Linked DNA regions of Saccharomyces cerevisiae S288C. Changing the gene in region 2 together with the main gene of any one other region gives a genetic interaction. Each region holds a gene or a part of one and is shown on either strand. Other genes may lie near its edges.

What was found.
Region 1: mutations in RPL37B (region 2) and CDA2 impair growth when combined (synthetic growth defect), as found in Saccharomyces cerevisiae (one large-scale study listed by BioGRID).
Region 3: mutations in RPL37B (region 2) and UGA4 impair growth when combined (synthetic growth defect), as found in Saccharomyces cerevisiae (one large-scale study listed by BioGRID).

What each region holds. Positions count from the first base shown.
Region 1 is NC_001144.5:745,955-749,447, forward strand, and holds CDA2 (chitin deacetylase CDA2), read left to right. Parts: upstream 1-1,982; coding exon 1,983-2,921; downstream 2,922-3,493. Other genes in the region: chitin deacetylase CDA1, read left to right, coding at 1-571; DPA10 (Dpa10p), read right to left, coding at 894-1,157; IMH1 (Imh1p), read right to left, coding at 3,080-3,493. UniProt on the Saccharomyces cerevisiae protein: Hydrolyzes the N-acetamido groups of N-acetyl-D-glucosamine residues in chitin to form chitosan and acetate. Chitosan is a component of the spore wall.
Region 2 is NC_001136.10:1,449,601-1,452,545, reverse strand, and holds RPL37B (60S ribosomal protein eL37 RPL37B), read left to right. Parts: upstream 1-1,692; coding exon 1,693-1,699; intron 1,700-2,088; coding exon 2,089-2,348; downstream 2,349-2,945. Other genes in the region: PLM2 (Plm2p), read right to left, coding at 1-1,193; LCD1 (Lcd1p), read right to left, coding at 2,473-2,945.
Region 3 is NC_001136.10:82,487-86,557, forward strand, and holds UGA4 (Uga4p), read left to right. Parts: upstream 1-1,783; coding exon 1,784-3,499; downstream 3,500-4,071. Other genes in the region: active spliceosome conformation promoter CWC2, read right to left, coding at 3,721-4,071. UniProt on the Saccharomyces cerevisiae protein: Required for high-affinity, high-specificity GABA transport. Also transports putrescine.

The sequences.
Region 1 (3,493 bases), on a different chromosome or scaffold from region 2:
AACATTTGACGACGGTCCGGCCCCGGCGACAGAGGCATTGCTCAAGAAATTGAGACAAAGAACCACTTTTTTTGTTCTGGGGATAAACACTGTTAATTATCCTGATATATATGAGCATATTTTAGAGAGGGGTCATTTGATTGGTACACACACGTGGTCACATGAATTCTTGCCAAGTTTATCAAACGAAGAAATTGTAGCCCAAATTGAATGGTCAATTTGGGCTATGAATGCCACAGGCAAACATTTCCCCAAGTATTTTAGGCCTCCATACGGTGCAATTGATAATAGGGTTAGAGCTATAGTAAAACAGTTTGGCCTAACGGTTGTCTTGTGGGATCTCGATACTTTTGATTGGAAATTAATCACTAATGATGATTTCAGAACAGAGGAAGAAATACTTATGGACATAAATACTTGGAAGGGAAAACGGAAAGGTTTGATCTTAGAGCACGATGGTGCACGAAGAACAGTTGAGGTTGCTATTAAAATCAACGAACTTATTGGTAGTGACCAATTGACAATTGCAGAATGTATTGGTGATACAGACTACATCGAACGCTACGACTAGAAGTAAGATTTCCGAGAAATAAAGTTTCTCTCTATATATCTTTGATCTCTTATTTAATTATTCAACTCGCAAAAATAAAAAGAATATTTTGTTATTTCAAAAGTAAAAAAGTATGTATTAGAATAGAGGACATATATAAAAATCATATATATCGATGCTTGAATGTATAAGGAAAAGCGTCAAATTATGAACGGTAGGTACTTAGGATGCTGATGTCACATAAAGTCAGAGGGTATAACTTTAAAAAGTAATTTTTTAGAATCTTTTAGCGTCAAAACGTTACACGTACATTTGAACAGTGTTAAGAGTAGATTAATTCAAATTATACTTTTACGTGCTCCGATACAGTCTCTACCTCTTCGTTGTCAGTGCAAATAACAATTGGCTTATCATGAACTGTTCTTGGAGATGGAGAATATCCTTTCAGACTCGTAATATTGATGACGGTAGTTATTCTGCGACATTGAGTAGTACTAGCATCCCTTATAACCGGAATAGTTGTTGATGTAGGTGAACTTTTTGGGACATAACACTTGGCAGTTGTTTGCAAATTTTTTGTGATCATTGATATGTTTCTTAGTGACATTTTTGATGCTATTGTTTTTATAGTGTAATTGCTATGAGTTTATTTTGTTGACAAGTATACTTGGCTGTCTTTTTTATATAATAACGAAAATGTGTAGTGGAAAAGCAGGTGTGTTTTGTCTTATATCTTACAAACTATATAGGCTTATATAGTTTTTTTTCAAAGATTCTTATTACTGCACAAAAAAAAATAAGATCCCAAATTGAACATTAACATTAGTCATATTCAGGGATGGCTCATCACGAACAGCAAACTGAATAATTTTCTTGTCTGCGTTCCTTTTTTTGTGCACCAATGGATGTAGTATGCGCACCTGATGCGCATAATAGATTGCAATTACACTGACTACAACTTACGTATATGCGTTTTTATTACTTTTCTATTGCAACGGCCTAAAGGAATTCGATAAAAGAAAGAGTAGGCAAGATAAGCCTGAATTTGGCTTTCGGCTGTTATTTTTACTTCCGCTAAATTTTCTTTGTTCTTCCATTGTTTTTTTGCCTTTGTGTTCTCCATTAATCCATCCAATTTTAATGTCGGATTAATGGAACTTTCTATTAACCCATAAATGCCACATAGTACGGCTGTAGCAGTGAAGGTTACAAAAGGACGGGTAACACATGAGAAACATGCGTCAGGGAACAAACTAGATATTTGATTTTGTGACGCAACGCAAAAATTACTGGCTATTCTTTTGTAGTATTATCAAAATCCATTTAAAATATTCTCTCTCCTTCAGTAATCCTCTATTATTTATCAAAAACCCACAGTGGGTAAACAAACTGCAAAAGAGTTGTTATTATTTCTACGGATCGGCAATTGAAAATGAGAATACAACTAAATACAATTGATTTGCAATGTATTATTGCACTTTCCTGTCTGGGGCAATTTGTTCACGCGGAAGCTAATAGGGAAGATTTAAAGCAGATAGACTTTCAATTTCCTGTATTGGAAAGGGCAGCTACAAAAACGCCTTTTCCGGATTGGCTTAGTGCATTTACCGGGTTAAAAGAATGGCCTGGGTTAGATCCACCTTATATACCTTTAGATTTCATTGATTTCAGTCAAATTCCAGATTATAAGGAATATGATCAAAACCATTGCGACAGTGTTCCAAGGGACTCGTGCTCTTTCGATTGCCATCACTGCACCGAACACGATGATGTGTACACATGTTCCAAACTTTCCCAGACATTTGACGATGGTCCTTCTGCTTCCACTACTAAATTATTGGACCGGTTGAAGCATAATTCCACCTTCTTCAATTTAGGTGTCAATATAGTTCAACATCCAGATATCTATCAAAGAATGCAAAAGGAGGGACACTTAATCGGCTCACATACCTGGTCTCACGTATATTTGCCAAATGTATCGAATGAAAAAATTATAGCTCAAATTGAATGGTCCATCTGGGCGATGAATGCTACTGGCAACCATACCCCCAAATGGTTCAGACCTCCATATGGCGGAATAGATAATAGAGTAAGAGCAATAACAAGGCAATTTGGCTTACAAGCCGTCTTATGGGATCACGATACTTTTGATTGGAGCCTCCTTCTCAATGATTCTGTCATAACTGAACAAGAAATTCTTCAAAATGTAATAAACTGGAACAAGTCAGGAACCGGATTAATATTAGAACACGATTCAACGGAAAAAACTGTCGATCTTGCCATTAAAATAAATAAGTTGATAGGTGATGATCAATCAACAGTTTCTCATTGTGTCGGCGGAATTGATTACATAAAAGAATTCTTGTCCTAATTTTCAGGGAATTGAAGAAAATAAGGAAGAATTAAATTACAATTTAAAAAGAAATTGCTTTAGTATTTTATATATAGACATGCAGCAACTTCTTGATATATTTCAGGAAGAAAAAAACTGTTTCAATATATACGTATCTTCTGCTTTCAGCTACATTTTTACTTCAGAGACATAACCAGTCTTTTTTCATCAGTACTGTCCAGTTGTAACAACATAGAAATTACAGGAAGTAATTGGTTCCGTTGTTCCTTGTGCTCCAAAAATCCCAACAAAACATTTTTTATATATGCAATTTTTTCATTTTTCTCAGAGTCTAACTCCAATGAACTTGATGATCGTATCTTCTCTAATTTAGTTGGATTAGAGTTATTCGCTGGTGAGGAATCAATATTCGCGTTAGCTAGAGTACCGATAGAACCAGACCTACTAACTCTTCCTGACTTGTCACTGTATTGTCTTTCCTTTAAAGCATTCAATTGAGAGGACAATGAACGATAATTTTTTAGTAATCGATCAAATTTCTTGTTAAGTTCGTTATTTAAATTCAGAAGTTTCTCATTGGCAGACTGTAG
Region 2 (2,945 bases):
GGAATAATATTCAATGAAGTCTTAAGACGTTTTTGTGCAGGAGATACAATCGCGGTTGTAGAAGACAGCTCTTTAGTTTTTTTTGCAACTGCTGCGAAAGATTCTTCTTCATTAATGCCACCACTCCTAGTACTGGCACTTAATGTCCCAATTATTTTATCTTTAGGAAGTGGTGTCTCTTGTATAGTGTTATTTTTCAATGAAATTGATTTACGCTTCAGTTTCTTTGGAGTTGATGGCTGATTAATAACGAAAGATGTTTGGGGTGTTGTTCTATAACTAATGGGGGAGTTTTTCACAAGAGCAGGAGATGCAATAAGTAATGGTTTTGAGATCTGTTCTGTACGAGGTGAATGCTCAACTGGGACAAATTTCATCGAAGGTGTTTCTTTTTGCCAAGAAAAATCATCGCTCGTTGTTGTTAATAAACACAACTCATCCTCCGTTTCTGTCGAGTTCTCTTCGTCAAAGTTATTGTTGCCATCGCCAGGATAAGGTGCTACTTTTTTCAATGAAAGACAGACTGTGACGCCTGTAAAATTTATGAAACTTCCTTGGATATAGGGGAAAGTAACAGTTTCACCTTTAGCCAAAACAAAGCTGATGAAGTTTTGGTTCTTTTGAAGAGTTTTTCCATGCGATTGTTTAGTATTTTGCGAGGTCAAAGGCTCTTCTGCCACTAGTTTATAAAAGTTCCTTGTTGGGAAGGGTTTTACCAAATGCAACTGCATGGAGTAAGGCAAGTGAACGGACAACCCATTAGTTCCATTACATTCCAATTTTATTTCATTTCTGTCGGCGGCGTATGAAATAAAAGCGTGCTGCCTAGAGATATTCTTTCTGCATGGCAAAATAATGTTGCAGACTGATTTTTTCCTACCGATGGCTAAACGTGAGGGATCCGATGCATCTAATTCAATCTCGATAGGGCCTGCAAGCACCTTTTCTTGCTTTGAAGGAGATGACAAGGCAGATTTGGTCTCATTTAAACGTGAAGTGATATCTTTCACTGGTGAAGATTGTCTTCCGATGCTAGACGACGGGTCTGGAGTAGGATACTCTTCCAATTCGTAATTATACCGTTTTCTTCCTAAGGTCAATACAGAAGTATTAGCAAGCTTACCAGGTTCTTTTTGTGGGCTTTCCAAAGGTTTACCAGCAACTGGTGATGATGGTGGGAAGAGATGGGACATAACCAAAATTGTGACGATTTTGTCGTGAAACTTCTAGCGAAAAGACTAATGAAATCGGCAAATATTGTGTAAATAGTATACCAAAAAAAAAAACGCTTCTATATATTGTTCCCCGTTGCTAGTAACGATAGAAACGGCAAATAAGGAGAGAAATTAAACTTTCTTGGGAGAGGCAGAAGTGTTTACTTATTCTTCTGAAACAAAAACAAACGCGAAAAAAAAATTATCGCGTTTGGATTATCATTATTTAGACATTAACACCTGTACATATTTGTATTTTAAAAGCCGAACATTTTTGGGTTCTATATCAGTTTTTTTTTTCTTCAAGCACTCCGTACACCACTAATATTATCACTGAGAATCTTCCTGCCACTTGCGGGAAGGATGAGATTGGAAACATGGCTGGAATAGTAAGCATAGGTTACTATAGAAAGCGGTAACAAAAAGCACTACTATGTGTAGATAAAGAACAAAGAGGTAAACGAATATATAAGTAAAGATGGGTAGTATGTACAGGAATTATTAATTGATGAGTCAACGTTCAATCACATCCGGTCTGATTTAGAGGATTACATGAGAAAGAAGCACTGAAAAAATTTTCCACCAGGAGAGGCCAGGTAAACTAAGACCTACGTTATTCACTATGCCAAAAGATTTAAAAATATAGAATGATGAATGTTGCCAGAGCCATTGATGATAAGAAATTGCACATAACGGATGCATAAAGAGCGAATAAAAAGATTTGAGTGTCAATACAAAAAGGTGAGAAGAAATAGTGTAAGACAGCAACACACATCTAGACCGCCAATGAAGTTGTTCTGAATCCAGCAGTAGAGTTTATTTAGTTCAAAGTTTTACTAACGATAATTAACTTTTATGTTTTCATTTTAAACAGAGGGTACTCCTTCATTCGGTAAGCGTCACAACAAATCTCACACCTTGTGTAACAGATGTGGTCGTCGTTCTTTCCATGTTCAAAAGAAGACCTGTTCCTCTTGTGGTTACCCATCCGCTAAGACTAGATCTCACAACTGGGCTGCCAAGGCAAAGAGAAGACACACTACTGGTACCGGTAGAATGAGATATTTGAAGCATGTCTCCAGAAGATTTAAGAACGGTTTCCAAACCGGTTCTGCTAAGGCTACTTCTGCTTAAATTTGATATTATCTATAAGTTTTGTTCTTTCCTAAAACGAAAATAATATAAATTATATATAGTTAATATTAAGCATTACAAGGTTTCTATAAAGCGTTGACATTTTCCCCTTTTGATTGTTGCCTTACAGTCCCATTGAGATATATAATGAATCGGCCTCCTCTAGTGTGGTTAGATCGAATGATTTTGACTCAAGAATAGTTCTTGCCATTTCTTGAAATTTCTCATCGTACTTTACTTGCATTATTCTCCCCGTTCTTTTATTCAATTGCATCTTCAATTCTTCTTCGATATATTCTGGTAAATCCTCAAAGGCATCTTCGTAATAAGAGGCTTGATCCTTTATCGTCAGATCATGCAAACTATCTACAAGGTGTCGATGATCTCTCATTTCTCTTTCGTTTGCTGTCACAGTTTCGGTTTGGCATACGAGAAACCTCCATAGTGACATAATCAATTGGCTTTCTACCTGCTTGATTTGTTCTTCACGCAATTGTTTGAAATGGTCTTTCCATAGCCTATATATTATGGTTAAAGTATGTTCAATAAGATGGCATCTGAGGTCCAAGTTCGGGGAGTCTTGTCCCACGTACCTTT
Region 3 (4,071 bases), 1.4 Mb from region 2:
GGTGGAGCCCAGGTACGTATTAATTTTGAATGGCGCAAATCTACTAAGTACGGTATCATTTTGATGTCGGAATACGGATAGTCAGTCCATAACTGCACCACCAATATTTTTCTTGCCGTTCTCATTTCCTGCACAGTTTCTTTGATTATGTTTGCAGAAGAATTTCTTTATCGTTTAGTCTAAACAAAGAATTCGTTGTAAAGAATTTGAGAGCGGATCTTGCATTTTTTATTTATCATGCTTATGTTTTTTCTTTGATGTAAGAAGAAGCAAGTAAGATATGTGAATATCTTATCACTAATTCAAATAACTAAGAGAGCTCACAACGACAATTTGTGACAGCATGCGAAGCAAAGAGCAGTGATACCAGTATCTTTCATCCAGTAATAACATACGACTGATGTTATAGTTAAATGTTACATTTTGAGAGACTTCAACCTCTCGAAACCAAGAGGTTGGTTTTAACTCTGGTGACTTCAAGAAGGGTGGGTACCTTTTACAAAGCTTGAGACGAAGCAATAGTCAGTCTCTGTATAACAAGGAGACCACCTCATTTTCCAGTAACTCTTGAGGCATGTCGGATGGTTTGCCTTGAATAAACCGCAGTCATTATAATGAATGGCCTGTACTTTCAAAACAGTCTGGAAACAGAAATCCATTGCTGAGGTACCTTTTAGTAGCACTTTCGTTAGTGAAGGTTTAAGGTTAGTTCTTATTTACTGCACAAGAGTTTACATTTAACCACTCTAATAGTAACTGTTAGAGTGGTTTAACTGTTAGGTGATCTGTTCATTCCATTTTTCGTGTTGTATCTCAAGATGAGATAGCTTAGCGTTGCTACATACATAAATCTAAACATATAAACACCTGTGTAACTCGTTAACGTCTGGGCTTCCATGCTTCTACCATTTAGAATGATGTAGACCATTTATTCCAAGAGGATAAGCACCCTCTGTGATTCAAAATGATAATAAGTGTTGACGACAAGTTACTCTCGCAGAATTGTTGTCAACAGTCTTGTATTAGTTGTTATCCAACGCTCCCGTTTTCAAGTTCACTTAGCGCAAGTGGTTTAGTGGTAAAATCCAACGTTGCCATCGTTGGGCCCCCGGTTCGATTCCGGGCTTGCGCAAGTTTAATTTTTTTTCTTTTTCCACATTGTTTTCCACTTTGCACTCATTTCCAGTGTTTATTGTGAATGACAATTTCTTCAATCATTGAAATGATTGATTTTTTGGGATCTATTTTTCTCTTTAGTGGTTACTGATCAGGCAACTCTATATCATTGTTTAACCGCGGCTTGCGTATCTTATTTTCTTTTTCCTAGGCATCTTACTAAGGTACTCTTATCGCTAATCGCTTATCGCTTATCGTGCGCCAAAAACCGCCGGCGGCAATTTCGAGATGTTTTATGTCATGTTGGATTTTGCAATCTATTACCATGGAGGTGAGGGCCTTCGATGGTCCAATACCGGTGCACGTACCCATGTACGTTTATCGAATAAGGGGAGAACCTACTAATTTTAAGTCGGATAACGCGGCTTGGCACAGTAATCAGTTCCTTCTTTGGGTTAGAATCTTGATGTGAGATTGTGCTCAGTGATAATGATAGCGAATACGGCTTACTCTTGAATAACAAATGCATATATATTAAGAAGTAGTTCAAACGTATTCTGTTGACTGGCATGGTCCTTTCCTTCTTGTTGTGATTATATAAAACAGTATAAGCTGTTTACTTCAGTTGTGAAGTGTAACAAGGTCTTATAATTTATTATTACTAACAATGAGTATGTCAAGCAAAAACGAGAATAAGATATCAGTAGAACAAAGAATATCCACTGATATCGGTCAGGCTTACCAGTTACAAGGCCTTGGGTCTAACCTAAGGTCGATTCGCTCCAAGACTGGTGCCGGTGAAGTGAACTATATCGATGCTGCTAAATCTGTAAATGATAACCAACTGCTTGCAGAGATCGGTTATAAACAAGAATTAAAAAGACAATTTTCAACATTACAAGTTTTCGGTATTGCGTTCTCCATTATGGGTCTATTGCCCTCCATTGCATCTGTGATGGGTGGTGGGCTCGGTGGTGGTCCAGCAACATTAGTGTGGGGTTGGTTCGTTGCTGCGTTTTTCATTTTACTGGTGGGTATTACCATGGCTGAACATGCAAGTTCCATTCCTACCGCTGGTGGTTTGTACTACTGGACGTATTACTATGCTCCAGAAGGTTATAAAGAGATTATTTCTTTTATTATTGGTTGCTCAAACTCCCTAGCGTTGGCAGCCGGTGTGTGTTCCATTGATTACGGTTTGGCTGAGGAAATTGCTGCTGCTGTCACATTAACCAAAGATGGAAATTTTGAAGTAACGAGTGGGAAACTTTACGGTATATTTGCTGGAGCAGTGGTGGTTATGTGTATTTGTACATGTGTTGCTTCTGGGGCCATTGCTCGTCTGCAGACGCTAAGTATATTTGCCAATCTTTTCATTATTGTTTTATTGTTCATTGCGCTACCGATTGGTACCAAGCATAGAATGGGAGGTTTCAATGATGGTGACTTTATATTTGGGAAATATGAAAACTTAAGTGACTGGAATAATGGTTGGCAATTTTGTCTTGCTGGTTTCATGCCTGCTGTCTGGACTATTGGTTCCTTTGATTCATGTGTCCATCAATCTGAAGAAGCCAAAGATGCCAAGAAATCAGTCCCCATTGGTATAATCTCATCTATTGCTGTTTGTTGGATTTTAGGTTGGTTGATTATTATTTGTTTAATGGCCTGTATCAACCCTGATATTGACAGCGTTTTGGACTCCAAGTACGGCTTTGCTTTGGCTCAAATAATTTATGATTCGTTAGGAAAAAAATGGGCCATTGCATTTATGTCATTGATCGCATTCTGTCAATTTCTAATGGGTGCTTCCATTACCACAGCTGTTTCTAGACAAGTTTGGGCATTTTCCCGTGATAACGGTTTGCCCCTATCAAAGTATATTAAAAGAGTGGATTCTAAATACTCGGTCCCTTTTTTCGCTATTTTGGCTGCCTGTGTAGGTTCCTTGATTTTAGGATTGTTATGTTTGATTGATGATGCCGCCACTGATGCATTATTTAGTCTGGCTGTTGCAGGAAACAATTTGGCATGGAGTACCCCTACAGTTTTCCGTTTAACATCAGGTAGAGATTTATTTAGACCTGGTCCATTTTATTTGGGTAAAATCTGGTCTCCAATTGTTGCTTGGACAGGTGTTGCTTTCCAATTGTTCATTATTATTTTGGTTATGTTCCCCTCTCAACAACATGGTATTACTAAATCCACAATGAATTATGCATGCGTTATTGGTCCCGGTATCTGGATCCTTGCAGGTATCTACTACAAAGTTTACAAGAAGAAATACTACCACGGTCCAGCAACCAATTTGTCGGATGATGATTATACTGAAGCCGTTGGTGCTGATGTTATCGACACAATTATGTCCAAACAGGAACCATAAATGTTCAAACCTTTATAAAGATTTTATATTCAGAGTTTATAAGGTCTAGCTTATATAGTCAGTATTTTTAATTTAATTATATTATAGTTTATCCTATCTCACCGTTTTAGCTTGTTTTCTGCGCCCAAACATAAAAATCAAGAAGCGCGGATAATTTATGATCAGCTCAGCGGGAATGTTAATGGCAGATACTTAGAATTTGGTGGAAACGATTTTCTTCTCTAATCCTCATCAGAGGAGAGGTAATCGAGCAAGGGACCACCAAGCTTACCAACAGATGGCTTTGATGAAATATTTTCTCTACTGATATTTTTTTTCACTTTCTTCAATTTTTCTATAAAATCATCACTCTCCATTCCATTATCTAATGGCAATAGTCTTTTCTTGACATTATCAACACTTGCTTCTGGAAATGTCCTGTCTAACCTTTCATTATTCTTATTATTAACCTCAGTGCCAGCACTATTGGTATTGTTATTGATTAGATGCACCATCATGTTTAAAGACTCTAACTTCAGTTCTTCTTGCAGTCTTTTCTGTGCAGCGGGGTCTGGATCTTCATTTGCCCATTT